2 linked regions of the Notamacropus eugenii genome follow. The protein of the gene in region 1 interacts with the protein of each later gene in a pairwise test. Links are inferred from orthologs where the notes say so. Each region holds a gene or a part of one and is shown in the gene's direction. Other genes may lie near its edges.

The links.
Region 2: the proteins of TSC22D1 (region 1) and APLP1 interact in a two-hybrid assay, tested with the Homo sapiens proteins (2 studies listed by BioGRID and IntAct). The link is inferred for Notamacropus eugenii from reciprocal best matches to the Homo sapiens genes TSC22D1 and APLP1.

What each region holds. Positions count from the first base shown.
Region 1 is NC_092877.1:295,069,298-295,076,531, reverse strand, and holds the start of TSC22D1 (TSC22 domain family protein 1), read left to right. Parts: upstream 1-4,220; 5' UTR 4,221-4,347; intron 4,348-4,759; 5' UTR 4,760-5,006; coding exon 5,007-7,234. UniProt on the Homo sapiens protein: Transcriptional repressor. Acts on the C-type natriuretic peptide (CNP) promoter. Acts to promote CASP3-mediated apoptosis.
Region 2 is NC_092876.1:33,030,994-33,038,836, forward strand, and holds the start of APLP1 (amyloid beta precursor like protein 1), read left to right. Parts: upstream 1-4,831; 5' UTR 4,832-5,069; coding exon 5,070-5,195; intron 5,196-5,988; coding exon 5,989-6,132; intron 6,133-6,362; coding exon 6,363-6,489; intron 6,490-6,670; coding exon 6,671-6,783; intron 6,784-7,037; coding exon 7,038-7,171; intron 7,172-7,521; coding exon 7,522-7,700; intron 7,701-7,843. Other genes in the region: KIRREL2 (kin of IRRE-like protein 2), read left to right, coding at 1-1, 137-242, 355-503, 764-891, 984-1,116, 1,203-1,303, 1,430-1,649, 1,909-2,013 and 3 more. UniProt on the Homo sapiens protein: May play a role in postsynaptic function. The C-terminal gamma-secretase processed fragment, ALID1, activates transcription activation through APBB1 (Fe65) binding. Couples to JIP signal transduction through C-terminal binding.

The sequences.
Region 1 (7,234 bases):
TTGTTCATGACGGTAGAGCTGGTTAAGAGCTAGGATTGGAACCTGAGTCTCCTAACTTTAAATCTTAAGCTATTTCTATTCCATCATGCAAACATGGGTTCATTTCCTATTTGATGTATTCCTTATTAGTCAAAATAATATAATTCAGTTCTGTTCATTGCAAAAGCAGTCTTTTTTTTTGTTGCATAGTCTCAACTCAAGTATTTTAAAAATTGCTTTCTTTCCCTGTTTTAGAAATACAAGTCCTTTCTAAAGACAAGAAACTATCATTTATTGTAGTATTTTCCATATGAAACACTCAAAATAGTATTCAAATGATAACTTTTCCTTAGAATATTCAGGTGTAATGCAGGATTGTTGTAGCAACAAGTTCTCAAACACTTTGGCATGAATATTGCTAATGAATATATGTTCTCAATATATATTATTGGAACAAAGTAGTAACTTTTTGTTGGATAAATGGATATCCTTGCAGACATTCTAGGTGCAAAAAAAATATCTATTTGGCTCTTAGCATATGTATATACAATTAGTTAAATATTATACAATGTCTTATTTTCTTTGTCAAAGTGGACCCACACTTTATGACACCCAGGAAATTTTGTTCCTTGAGTAGTCTTGTGATAAGACAAAAACTACAGCTACAATTGATCATAAAGGCAGTATAGAAAGAGCATGAACTGGGGAGACACAAGACCTGGAGAGTCACGTGATATTAGATGAAGTCATATGATTCCCTTCTCGGTTTCCCTTTCTTCATCTATAAAATAATGGTAACAATTACTCTACCTGGTCTAATAAAGATTAATCTTTTATATGATAGAAAGGTGATTCAATAGCTATTGTGTACCAAGCTCTGGAACTAGAAAGACTTCTAACATAAACAGTCCTTTAAAAGGCATAACCAAAAAAAAAAAAAAAGACTCCCAATGTTTAGATTCAATAATGTGTTCTAATTTTTTGATTACATTAAATACTTTGATATACGACTAGAAATTAAAGCTACAGAACAAATTTAGACACTCGTGATAAAAACAGTGAAATTTTAACATTTTCCTAGGGAAACAACTTTTAACATAAAAACATGGACATATTTGCAAAAAAAAGCTTAGGTATGTGTTGAGAGGTTAAGTTCAAGATTTAAGCATTTTGTTTTCTGGTTGTTCCTTTCCTTTTTAAGGGTTATTATTCATAGACACTATAATGACAGCTGGAAAACATAGGGTATTTGTATTTTTGAGGCTGTAGATCTTTTTGCTTAAGTCCTGAGACCTTGAGTTCTGGGACCCCTGGCTTAGAGACCATATTTTAACAAGAATTTAACAAGAACAAGAACCGACTGAATCAGAATCACAGCAATGCAAAATTGAAAGTGTCCTCAGAAGTCATTCATTCCTATCCATAACTAAATGTTATATATAACACCATATAAGTGGTCATGAAACCTTGCATTTAGATTCAGCCTACCTACTTATATGCTACTCTACTTTTTGGAAAGCTCTGTTTGCTTCATAGAACCCAAGACTTCCATGCAGTGAAGTTTGAAAACCAATTTTTAAAGAAATGGCACTTGTAATATCCTCCCACTTTTTACTAGTATATTTGTTTATTAGTGTTTTATTAGTGTCAGAGGAGTAGATGCTCTCTCTTGGATACTTAAATAGCTCTTTTCCACTATGAACTTTGGGTTACAATTTAATTTAGTCTTATATGACCTTTTTTGTCTTAGACCAAATATTAGGACGATGTTAAGAGGGCCCCAGGTGATGTGAAACTGTTCTGTTTTGAATAACATATAAAACAGCTCTAAATCATGTTTTGTGACTGCAAGAATATTTTCTCTCAAGCCCTGGAGAAACTGTATTTGGCCTATCTGCATTCCACAAGGAGTTTCCATCAGTTAAGATAGTTTCCATTTCCCATTTGAAAACTGTTGAAAAAACATGATGGAAATTTGCATTTCAAAAATTGATAGCAAGGCCATTAACTAAGAGTATCATTTGCAAAGGCTTTGAGGGAAAAAAAAAAGGATGAGCTTTTTTTTTTTTAAGTAAAAATACACCCAGAGACATGGATAGTGAATACAAAAATACAATCTTTGTTCATGTGATATTTCCATTTGGTCAGCCCTTCAAGCTATGGGGTGGGGCAGAAAGAATCAGAAAAAAATAGGCTGACAAAGATCAGTCCAAAGTCAGGAATAAGCACCTCAAAAGACAACTGAGCTCATGGGGCGGTGCATTTCAACTTACACTTCGAAAATGCAGCTCCTGCAAAGGAGTTACATTGTTACCTCGTATGAAACTGAACGGAGGTCTAGAAAGCTTAACTGTTCTACCCGGATGTCTCGGTCCTAAGTCTACCTTCCACGTTCTTCGGGCTCCCACCGCCCCTCCACATGCTTTTAGCCTCAGTTACTAAACAAATATCTCCTCTCAGAGGTCACCCAGTCCTGCCCTTTCTGGGCCAGGGAAGGGAGAGGACCGGCTCTAAAACGAGGAAGTCTGGGGAGGCAGGCTTTGGTTTGGGTCCCTGACATTCCCACCTGGGCTGGGGCTTTCTGGGAAGCTGCTTCGTTTCCAAATGCCCAGACCACCGAGGCAAGGGCTTCCCAGACGGGCGAAATCTGGGATTTTTCTGACGAGACCCTCAGTCATTCCTCAAGGCATCCCTCACGTGTTCTCGTCTACACTGGGGTTCTTAACGTGGGCAGGAAGCGCTTCCTGGCCCCGCTGCCCTCCTCCTGTCCGGTGGGATCGCTCGATCCTAGGACACCTCTGAATTCGTCTGGTAACCGCGGGAGGGTTTGCTGGTCTGACGCTGAGGAGAGCGGCCAACCTAACCGCACTGAATGTGGGTAACAGGGTTAAGTTACAGTTAAGTGTGGAGTTACAGTGTAACGCCCGTTGTAGAGACCAGACGAGTAACAGTCCTCATCGCGGTCGTCCTGGCCCCGCACTGCAGGAGACGGGGCTCCACCTGCGGAGGTGTCGATGCGCCTCCCTCCGCACGCTGCCCGCCCGCAGAAGGGACCGCATGGCAGCTGCGCTCTGGCCCACACAAAGGGGACCCCTTGGCGGGAGCTCGGGGGCCAGGTGTCGCCCGTCACGCCAGGGGCGTGAAGGAGGATCCGAGTGCGCGCGCGCGCGTGTGTGCGTAGAGGGGGGGCCATGCAGGCGTGGGCATCCTCCACACGGGGAAGGTGGCAGAGGAGGGAGAAAAGCCTGACTCATGTGGTGGCTTGGGGACTCCTGGGAAGCAGAACTCGTGATGCGCCCGCTGCGCCGCGCTGCAGAGAAGAACCCCATTCTGCCACGGGCCCGCTCCAGGCACATGGCCCGGCGGCCCGCCCCGCCCCGCCCCTCCCCTCCCCCCTGCACTGCAGAGGGCCCCCCTCCCCCCTCGCCGGGGCGCGTGCACGCGCACACACGCCCCAAGCGCGAAGGGAGCGAGGACACACCTCGGCCGCTCGCGCCCGCGCCCCCCTCTCACTTCATGCCCCACCCCACCCCATACTGGCAGCATCACGCTGTCCGCCCCGGATTCGCTCCCCGATCTCCAAGTCCCCGCCCCCACCGCGCCGGCGCCTGGGCATCCGACTCTGGCCTTCGGTAGTTTCCGTCAAGAGCACCCGAGCTCGGCTGCCGCCTCGGCGGGTCTTCGAGTCCCCGAACACCGTCTCTCCTCTACCCTCCCCGCCCCCTCCCGCCTCGTCCGGCCCCGCCCCTTCTCCTCGCCAGGCGAGGCTTTATGTCTGCGGCGCCAGAGCGCCTGCGCAGACGCCATCTTCCTCGGCCCCCTCCCCCGGCCGCCGCTGCCTCCTCCTCCTCCTCCTCTTCTTACCGCCGGACGCTCCTCCTCCTCCTGCGCCCGGGCTCGGGAGCCCGTCCCTCCTCTTCCAATGCCGTGAGAGACAGTGGGGAAGACGGCGTAGCCGGGGCAGCCTAAGGAGAGCTCTCGTAACCAGCCCCCCCCCAGCCGCCCCCTCCCCAACCCCCGGGCGCACCCGACACCCTGCCCCCATCCCGCTCCCTGCCCCTCCCCTGGCCGCCCCCACCTCCTGCTCCATTCAGCGGCGCCCGTCCGTCCGTGGGTAGTCCCGGCCCGGCGAAGCCGCCGCCGCGGAGAGAAGCCTCACGCCCCCTGGCTGCTGCCTGCCTGCCCGCCCGCCTCCTCCCCGAGGGCCGAGGACCGGAGCCGCCGGGCTGCTGGCCCGGAGGGAGGAAGATGTTGGGGCTCCGCGGCTGCCAGTGATGGAGCGGTCCCTGCGCTCCCCCCGCCCCCGCCCGCCCGGCCGCCGCTGCTCCTGCCGCCGCCGCCGCCGCCCCCCGGCTGGGTGCGAGGATCGTACGTATCTCTCCCTCCCCCCTTACCGGCCTCCCCCCAGCTGCAGCCGCCGCCGCCCCCTCGGCCCTCCCCGGCCGGCCCAGCGGCCCCGGCTCCGCTGGGTTCCCGGCTGAGCCGCCGCGGCGGCGGCGCCCCCGGAGCAGCTTCCAGCCTAGCGGTGGGGGAGGGGGCGGGGGGAGGGGGAGGCACCGGGCTTTTAGCTGCTCCGGCCTGGCCTCCGGGCGTGCCTTTCCCGGGGCAGCCCTTTGGGGTTGGGGCGGGTGGAGGGGTGGCCGCCGCCGCGGCACCGCGGCGGGGGTGGCGGAGGGGGCGGGGGCGGCGGCGGGGGTAGGGGCGGCGGGGGCAGCGGTGGTTTCCAAGTTGGCCGGATAACGTGGGCATTTCTCTCTCTCCCCCCTCTCCTCTTCTTCAGTCTGCCTGCCTCCTTCCTCTACCTCCCCCCACCCCCTCCTCCCCTAGTGAAGCGGACTGTATAAAAGGGGGTGGAGAGGACCAGAAGGAAAAGTGAATGGCCGAGGACCGGTAGTGCCCCCCATTCTTGCCTTGTCCCCCCCGCCGTCCTCCGCCTGCTGAGCGCAGAAGGCCCCGGCGGCGCAGCGGGGACGGTGCCTCCGGCCCCTGCGCTGTGAACACAAAGCTCCCCGTGCGGTGCAGACACAATGCACCAGCCGCCCGAGGCCACGGCCGCCGCCGCCGCCGCCGCAGACCTCGGGGCTCGGAAGATGGCGCACCCGGCCGCCGCGGTCCCTCGGAGGGGCAGCAGCAGCGGCGGCGGCCCCGCGGGCCCCTCGGCCGAGGACTACGCGCCTCCCGCGCCGCTGCCCGGGGCGGCGGCCGCTGGGCCGGGGCCGGCGCCGCCGCCGCCCCCGCAGAGCCTGCACCTCCTCCCGCAGGCCCCGCAGCTCCCCGCCGCGCCCGGCGGGGCGCAGATGAAGAAGAAGAGCGGCTTCCAGATCACGAGCGTGACGCCGGCCCAGATCTCGGCCAGCATCAGCTCCAACAACAGCATCGCCGAGGACACGGAGAGCTACGACGACCTGGACGAGTCCCACACGGAGGACCTGTCCTCCTCCGAGATCCTGGACGTGTCCCTTTCCAGGGCCACTGACTTGGGGGAGCCGGAGCGGAGCTCCTCCGAGGAGACTTTGAATAACTTCCAGGAGGCCGAGACCCCTGGGGCGGTCTCTCCCAACCAGCCCCACCTTCCTCAGCACCATTTACCTCACCATCCACCCCAGAATGTCGTGATCAATGGCAGTGTTCATCCACACCATCTCCATCATCACCACCACCACCACGGGCACCACCTTCACCATGGGCACCACCATCCATCCCATGCTGGTGTCAGCACGGCTGTTCCTGGAGGGCCACCCCCAAGTCCGGTGTCTAGAAAACTCTCCACAGCTGGAAGTTCAGACAGTGTTTTACCAGCTGCACCACCTTCTGCTGTATCATCCACTGGCACACCTGCATCTCTAATGACTAATGTCCGCAATACGAATGCTCCTGGCAGTCTAGGTATAAATTCTGTTACGGGCACTAACACAATAAATAATGTTAACGTTACTGCAATGGGTAGTGTTAATCCTAACATGACGAACAGCATGCCTGGTAATGTTAACGTACCTTCCAGTAACGTCCCAAGTACTGCTAGTGTAAATGCTGTGCCCGGAGCTAGCACCAGTGTTAATGTGAATATCCTAAGTGGCATGGGCAATGGTACTAATTCTTCTGTTAACAATGTTCCTACCCCAGCTGCAGGAATGGCTGCGGGATCTGTTTCAGCTCAGCAGCAACAACCAGCGGCTGGCACATCAAGGTTTAGAGTTGTGAAATTAGATTCTAGTTCTGAACCCTTTAAAAAGGGGAGATGGACTTGCACAGAATTCTATGAAAAAGAAAATCCCATAGCAGTTACAGAAGGAGTAGCGGTAAACAAAGTGGTGGAGACTGTAAAACAAAACCCAGTTGAAGCGACCTCTGAAAGGGAGAGCACTAGTGGGAGTTCAGTTAGCAGTAATGTGAGCACATTGAGTCACTACACAGAGAGTGTGGGGAGTGGAGAGATGGGGGCCCCCGTTGTGGGCCAGCAGCAGCCAGCCCTCCCAGGTGTGGCCCCACAGCCCGTGGATTTCAGTAGTGGTCCTGGTGCACAGGGTGTATCAGCAACTAGTCTACCACAGAGTATTTCTCAGTCTCAGATTGCCCCGGTGCAGTTGCATTCTCAAGAGCTGACCTATGCTTCGCAAAAGCAGGGAAGTCAGCCTCCTCTGCAGGCCAGTAGAAGTGCTGCGGCTGGCATTCAGTCGCCCCCAGTGAATCTGGTTGGTGTAGCACCATCGTTAGGCCAACAGCCTCCCGTTTCCAGCTTGGCTCCGTCCCAGTCGTCCTATTCTCAGACCCCTTTGCCAGTTGTAGCACCGCCGCAGTTACAATACGGACAGCAGCAACAAACTGTGGCCACACAGGTGGCTCCGGGCCACATCCAGCCAGTAAATCAAAATCCCATCGCTGCAACTATGCCAGAGTATGTTCAGCATCAGCAAGTTCTCCAGACACCAGTGCCCCCTGTCCCACCAAATTCTGCAGGAGTGGCAGCAGCCTCAGCGATGCCTGTTGCTCATTCACAGAGCATTCAGCCTTCAGTGCAATCCACCACAGCCCAGGCACAGCCTGCAGGGGCTGTTGGACATGGCCAGCCAGCAATGCCTCCTGTAGCTGCTAGTGGTCAAGTTGTGAATGTTGGTCAGCAAGTGAACATCCCAGCTGTGCTGCAGCAGCCGGCCACCGTCACCCAGGTGACACCTCCGCCTTCTCAGCCTGGGATCATTCAGGGAATTCAAGCCAGTGCTTCAAACCTTCCTCCACAGCTGGTCGTTGCACCTCA
Region 2 (7,843 bases), on another chromosome or scaffold:
TGTAAGTGAAAATCAGACTTCTGGGTTCTGTAGGGGACTTGAGGTGCTCTTGGACAGAGAAGAAAGAGTTGGTTGGGGGAAAGGATGCTGGGCAGGTCCTTCTTTACTCTGACTTCGATCCCCTCCCATCTCTTAGATCCTCCTGTGGTGACTCTGTCTTCAGAGCCACAGACAGTGCCAGAGGGTGGGAAGGTCACGTTTCTGTGCAGAGCAACCGCCCATCCCCCAGTCACTGGCTACAGGTGAGCCCCTCTAAATACTCTTGGCCTGCAAATGATGAGACTCTGCCAGGACCCCATAGCACCGGCCCCATACTTGAGACCCTCTGCAATATTGATCCTTCCCATCTCCCAGGTGGGCAAAAGGGGGATCTGTGCTTCCTGGAGCTCGGGGGCCCCTTCTGGAGGCGAAAGCTGATGCTTCCTTCCTGACTGAACCTGTGTCCTGTGAGGTGACCAATGCCGTGGGCAGTACCAATCGGAGCACGGCATTGGATGTGCAATGTGAGTACAGTGGGCAAGACTTCAGCTTCTGAAGAGGCAGCGGCTGGGGAGGGTTTCTGCAGTGGGTGAAGGGTCTTATTTTCCAGGGTTCCTGCAGAAGTCTCAGTGCCTCAGTCCCTCAGGGCTGAGAGGAACTTCTTATGCCTTGGTATCTAAGGGACTAGGAGGAGGGCACTCACAATGCCTGGGAGGGCTTGATTAGGAGGTCTGAGTTCTGAGTCAGGAGACAATCTCATAGACAACCTCCCTTTCATCTTCAGTCGGTCCTCTCCTCCTCTCCCCACCTGAACCAGTGGCTGTAGATGCGGGAGAAGACGCCTCTTTCACCTGCACCTGGAAGGGAAACCCGCCCCCACGAGTGACATGGACGCGCAGTGGGGGGACCAAGGTGAGGGATAGAGCTCTGGGGGCAGAGGCTCTGGGTTTAACTCATCTTCTCCTTCCCATCTCCCCTAATGACTTTTCCCCATGGGTCCCCAGATCCTGGGCTCGGGGCCTACATTGCGTCTGGTGTCCGTGGGGCCGGGGGACGCTGGAAATTACGAGTGTCGAGCAGAGCCAGGACCCTCAGGAATGGGGGGCGGCCTGGGGGAGGCAACCCTGACTGTGCATGGTGAGCAGAGGTTTGGGGGACAGGACGAAAGGGAAGGGATGGGCAAGGGACGAGGTTGTCTCTGATTGGATCTTGAATCATCCCAGGCCCCCCAGCAGTGACTGCCCTGCCTTCGCCCCCCGCTGCTGTGGGAGCCCCTGCCCGGCTAGAGTGTGTAGTTCTCGCATCTCCAGCACCCGAAGCAGTGGTAAGGTTCACTGATCTATCCCTTTCCCCTTCCCGAGGCTTCTGCCCCTGCCTCCGTTCCCTCCCCGGCCTCCACTGCCTCTCCACCGCCGAACCTTTCTCTGTTCTCTTCTCCCCCCGCCCCCAGGTCTGGTCCTGGGGCGAGGGCGCACTCGCCTCGGGATCCCGAGGCCGCTTCCTAGTAGAGACATTCCCCGCCCCAGGGGCCCCGGGGAGTGGGCGCCGGGGATTGGTGTCGGTGCTGCACATCTCCGGGACTCGGGAACTGGACTTCGCCCGAGACTTCAACTGCAGCGCTCGCAACCGTCTGGGCGAGGCGGCAGCCCGGGCTGGCCTGACCCGCACTGGTGAGCCCAAAGTCCCCAGAGAAGCACAGGAGGGGATCTGACCTCCCAAACCCGTGTAGATCTCCAAACCTAAGGCACCCAGTCTGAGGCCCCCAATGGGGCTCCGGAGCACCCACATTCCCCGGGTACCCCTCCCTTTGCGGACCCAACCTCGACGAGACTCCTTTCGGCCCCTAAAACTCCCCAACTTGACCTAGGATCCGGGCCCCGGGCTCGCCAAACTTTTCCTTAACCCTGTGACGCCTGTGTCCCCTCCCAGACCCACTGCCCCTGGTGCGGATCGTGGTAACTGCAGCTGCGACTGCCTTACTATTACTACTGCTCATCGCAGGGGGCACCCACTGCTGCTGGCGCCGAGGCCGAGGTCAGTGTGGTCACAGCTGCCCTTCGAGGTCCACCCCCCCCCCCCCAGCCTGGTCCCTATCTCAGTGTGCCCCTCCCCAGTCCCTCTTCGTTCAGTTTTCTCGGCTTCTGGGGTGCCGCCCTCCAGCTCCGCCTTCTCCTCCACCCTCAGGCTCCAGAGCAAGGATCTCCAAGCGAGACATACTGGTGCAAATCACTGATAGCGATGGTTCCAGCCCTCGAGTCCCCGAGGAAGAGGAGGAGGGGATCCGAGAAGACCAGGTATGGACCTCTGGAGGCCACCTCGCGCGGAGCGCCCCCAACTGCCAGAAGACCCTGCGAGGAGCCGACTGCTGCCGAAACCCTAGTGGGAAGTGGGTCCTGGGCGGTGGCTCCCAGGGGTGGAGGGTGGCTTCCCCCTGGACTCTCAGTGACCGGCACGACCTCCCCCGCTCAGGTCCTCAGCAGCGAGTCCACCGGTACCTCGCACTCAAAGCAGAGCGACTTCGTTGGGGCTGAGGAGGCGGGGCCTGAGGCCAAGGTGGGCGGAGTAGGGCAAGGGCTACGCCTGGAGCCCCCTCCCATCTCTGTCTTTGTATCTATTTATGACTTCTCTCCTCATCTGTTTCTGGGTGCCCAGTCACCTCCCTGCTTTCTCTTTCCATCTCTTCCTCAGTCTTTGCCTGGGCTCACCGTACCTCGTATTCAATTGTCCTGGCATGCCCATTGGTCCGTTCGAACTCTTGTCTTTCCCTTCACTGGCACATCATTGCTGATGTCTGTATGTTTTCTTGTTCCCCGCTCCCCCCAATATCTCTCCCCCCACCATAAGCCTTTTCACCATTGTTCAGGGACCTCCTAGTGGTGTCTCCTCTCCATCTGTGTCTCCTTGTTTATCAGCCTCCACTCTACTTCTCTGTGGTGTCTCCTTGTCTCCTTCAAACCTGTTTCTGGTGCTTCTTGTATTTCTCTTTGACCTTGCCCATAAGTGCCCTCCCATCTTTCTGCCCCTGTTACACTCTGTATCTATTTCTTCTTATGTCTCTGTTGGCCCCTTTTCTTGCTCTCTGTTGATTCCCCTCCCCCTCCCCCCATCCTTTATCTTTCTGTTTTTCCTTATCTCCATCAGTCTCATTTTTATCTTTTTTTAATCTCCTCCCAGGATCCCACTAACGGCTACTATAAAGTTCGAGGTGTGAGTGTGAACCAGGACCCTGGAGCTGCCCTCTTCTTCTCTCCAGCATCTCCTGTCTTCCCTGGCAGCCCTTCTGGGTTCTGTGACCTTACCCCTCATCTGCCTGTATTCCCCCCAGACCGAGGTGGTCTCTACAGCCCCCGGGATGGTTACCTCACCACTCCATATACCCGTGCTTTCACCAGCTATGTCAAATCCACACCCTATAGGACCCCTGACCCAGCTCCTGGGCCCCCTTCCTTTTCCTACACTGTCCCTGTTCCTGGCCATCAGCGCCTTCAGACCCATGTGTGACCTGTCTCTCAGACTGATAGCTGGTCATCCACTCCAGCCCATGGGAGGCCTCTGTAAAGTCTCCAGTCCTTTCTTGTGTGATGAAGAACTGATCCAGTCATTGGGCAACCAAGAAGATTTCCCCCTCAAGATAGTAACCCAAGTCTGGGAATGGGGGGAGGGGGGAGGAGGAGCAAGACTTTGATGGACAGCTGACCCAGCAAATGGAAAAGGCCAAAGTGTAAACATGCCTACCAGTTCACTCTAGTCAAGAGAACTCCAAGTGGCAGATGGACTAGTATGGGCTCCCTGGAAAGGGGAAGTACATAGGGTAGGGGCAAGGCTGGAATCAAGGGCACACAGATGTATTGATGACTCCAACCAATAGATGGGGGAAAAGTCATTCCTGGCCCAGGAAGCAGGTTCTTGATTACTTGGCAAAATGTTCAATCTCATGGAAACTGTGTCAAGATGGCTTCTGACACCAGGAACCCAAGATGGTGGACTCAAGGTGGCCACCCCATCCTTCTGCAGGGAAGGAGGGAATCTGGGGCACATTTCTTAGGATGACCCCATTGCTAAGGCAAATATGAATTTGGAAACATGGGATGTATGTTGGGATTTGAATATGTTTAATTAAAAAAATGGAAAAATGTATGTGTAAGAAATCTTTTACCATCCAGCAACCAGTCCAGGGTAAGTCATGAAAGTCAAAGACTAGTTCTGATGGCTCCTGGCTACAGGTGTCAGGGTCCCAGTCCACCTCTTCCCCTCTCAGACCCAGGCATCCAGGTTCCCAACCCATTCGGTGCCCCACCCTCCATTTCAGTCACAGGTTCTGGGGTCTGCAGAGCAAGAGTTGGGGGGGGGGGGGGCTGGGGGTTCTAGCCATTTGGGTCCCCTACCTCTCCCAAAGCCAGACTTTGTTCACAGGTTTATATAACTCTTCAGCCCCAGTTCTTGTGAACCTTCCAGGTCCAAGGGAAAAATAGTTGAAATAGTCCCAATGTGTAAACCTTCCCTTATTTTTCCACCGTAAGCTACCGAGGCAGCCCAAGGTGGGGTGGGGAGTGGAGATGCCGTAATGTTGAGGTTTCGACACTCCCTCGTATCTAGGACGTGAGGCTGAACGTGTAGGCGAGATGCCCAGGGCTTGGAGGGGGTGACCACCCCTGAAGGTCAAGGGGCTGGGAACATTACAGTTTAGATCGCCCAGGCATGGCGAGGTCCCCAAAAGATCTAGGAGGAGATTTAGAGCCCAGAGCGAGCAGCGCAGCAGGGCAAACACTCTCACCCGCGCTATTGTCCCAGCCGGGGAGGCGGGGCCGGGGCGGGGTTGGCGGCGCCGGCGCAGCCCGGGGCTGGAGGGGGTGGGCAGCAGCAGGAAGCGGCGGCGGCGGTGCTGGGAGCTCCTGTCACCGGCGGGCCCAGGGCGGGGAAACCCGGGGGAGGGGGCTGGCGGAGTGAAAGGAGGGCGACCAACCAAGGACTGGGGGAAGGGTAGGGCGAGTTCGGCTGAGCCCAAGAAGGAGATCGCGGGCCCAGAGGTCGCTGCAGGGCCGGGCAGGGGAGACAGAGAAGGGGGCTCGGGCCCCAGCCCCGGCCCGGACATGGGGTCAGCGAACCCCGCGGCCCGTGGGCTCGGGAGCCGCCTCGGTTCTCTGCTGCTGCTGCTGCTGCTGCTGCTGCTTCCAGCGCCCGGGAGCTCATCCAGGGGGACGCCTAGCCCTGGGGAGGTGAGACTCACGCCCCCGGCCGCAGGGTGAGGTGGGGGACCCAGATGCCCAGAACCCCTAGCCCTCCACATCCCACCCCACCCCGATTCTGGCTGTGCAGTTCCCAGAACCTACGGCTAAAATGGAGGGGGGGGGAGGGCCTGGACTCCTTGGTCTGGGAGGGGATGGGCGGGTTGGGACCCTGACACCTGCGGCCCTCAGACAGCGGGACCCTGGTCTTTAAGAGGAGAGGATTGGGGAGGATTAAAAACGCATGAATGCCTGATGGGGGCAATGGTTTTAGGATCAGGAGGTTTAGGCCCTTGAGTGGGGTAGGGGCTGGAGGCCTAGACTCCTGGGTCCTTAAATCGTGGCCCAGGGGACCCAAACACCGGGGTCACAGCGTGAGGGAGAGAACAAGACCGGAGAAAGACCCATGTCTACGCCGTCCTCACCTCCACGGGCCAGAGAGGATGGGGGTGCGGTAGTGGGAAGGAGGGTCTGTCTCCGCGGTAACCAGCTGGTGATGCCAGGCGATTCACCTGGGACCCAGTCTCCATGGCGACCCCCCCATCCCCTCCGGTGCAGTTGCCTTGGCAACACCATCTGCACCGCAGCGGGGGCTGGGGCCTGGATCCCTGAGAGGGGACTAGAGGTGGGGTCCGCATGCCTGAGTCCTCGAGGGGGGCGTGGTCTGGGGTCCGGATGCCTGGTATCTCTGATGTCGGGGTCGGGACTCCTGGGTCCCCGACTGGGGCGGGGCCGTGGGCTGGAGTCCCCGTCCCAGACGCTCGGTTCTTCGCTCTCTTTTCAGATCGCGGGGGTCCCTCAGGTGGCTGGGCACTGCGGCCGACTGACCCTACACAGAGACCTGCGCACAGGCCGCTGGGAACCTGACCCTCAGGGCTCACGCCGCTGCCTGCGAGACCCGCAGCACGTGTTGGCCTATTGCAGACAGGTGGGCGGGGCCTGAGGGGGCCGGGCCGACCGGGGGTCTGAAGTAAAGGGGTTGAGAATGGCCCGGGCATCGGTGGGAGGGGACTTTTGGGGGTGGATACTCTGCGGGGACGTGGGAGCTGAGCCGAGCTCTGGGAATTCAGGAAAAGCACCTGGAAGGGGAATTGAGTGAGAGTGAGGAGAACCGTGAGACTCCTCCATGGAGCCCCCATCCCATTCTCCCACCCCCAGGTGTACCCCGACCTCCAGATCGGCCGCGTGGAGGAGGCCTCGAGACCCATTCCTATGGAGCATTGGTGTGGGAGTGCCCGCGGAACCAGATGTCCCCACCACGTGGTGATTCCTTATCACTGCCTGCGTGAGTGAAAGGGATACTGGCTCCAGGTGTGACCCAGAATGCGGGGGCCCAGATATCTAGGGAGTAGGTTTGGGGCAAAACACCTGGATCCCTGAGGTGGGGGTCTGGACAGGATGGGGATTATTTGGAGGGGAGAGGGGAAATCGGGAAGGCTCATTTTTCTTCTTCCATACCCCTACAGCAGGTGAGTTTGTGAGTGAGGCCCTGTTGGTTCCTGAGGGATGCAAGTTCCTGCATCAGGAGAGGATGGATGAGTGTGAAGGCTCAGCCTACAGGCACCACCAGGCCCAAGAGGTGAGGTCTAGATTCAGACATGTTGACTCTAAAGAATTTTCAGAGACTCCAGTATTCATGCTTCTACCCCCCTCCCATCTCCATCAGGATCCCATGTCTACTTTTCCATCTCTCCAACCCCTTCAGACTTGAGTGTCCAACCTCCCATCCCCCTCATTCCAGTTCACTCAGTAATCTATCTGTTCTCCCTTTCCACCCACCCCACATTCCCTGTCTTCCCCACTACCCAAGGGCCTCTATCACTTCCTTCTCAGGCTTGCCGCTCTGAGGGCCTCATTCTTCATGGCTCAGGGATGCTCCTCCCATGTGGAACTGATAGATTTCGAGGTGTGGAATATGTCTGCTGCCCTACTACAGGCACCTCCATACCTCCCCAGATGCCCCATAGGTGAGGTCCTGGGTCTCCATGAAGGTGAGGTCTAGTCTGCCATGTGTGTTAAAGTTGGAATCATCTCATAACCCTGGTCCCCTAGATCTTCTGTAATAACCCTAATATCCTAGAGATTCTCACTAACACTAGAGACTCCTCCCCTAGTTATGCCCTGGAATACCCAATAACCCTGTAGACACCCCAATAAAATTTCAAGATAACTTCAAACTCCCAAATGACACTGTTCCCCCCAGAGGGTTGGGAGACTGGGAGCCTGAATGTACCCCTGAAAGTTGGGAATGAGGTTCTGGATACTTAGATGCTTGTAGGTCACGCAGCCAGATGTGAGGGTTTTGTCCTCTTTGCAGTGATGCTCCCACCCAGCCCCAGTCCCCAGGGGGAGAGGAGGAAGAGGAAGACGAGTCATTTCCCCAAACAGTGGATGACTATTTTGTGGAGCCCCCAGGGGAGGATGAGGAAAAAGAGGAGGGTGAGGCCAGAAGACTCCAGCACCCCAGCACCCAACCACCTTCCAGGACCAACAAAGGTGAGACTCACCCCCAGAACCTGGGAGTCCAGATGCCCAGAGTCTGAGCCAGGCTCCTTTACCAAGGCTGGCACAAAGTAGCCCTCGAGAGGAAGGAGAGGTCTCCTTCTCCCAGCTGCACCACCCACAAAAGCTCTATGTTC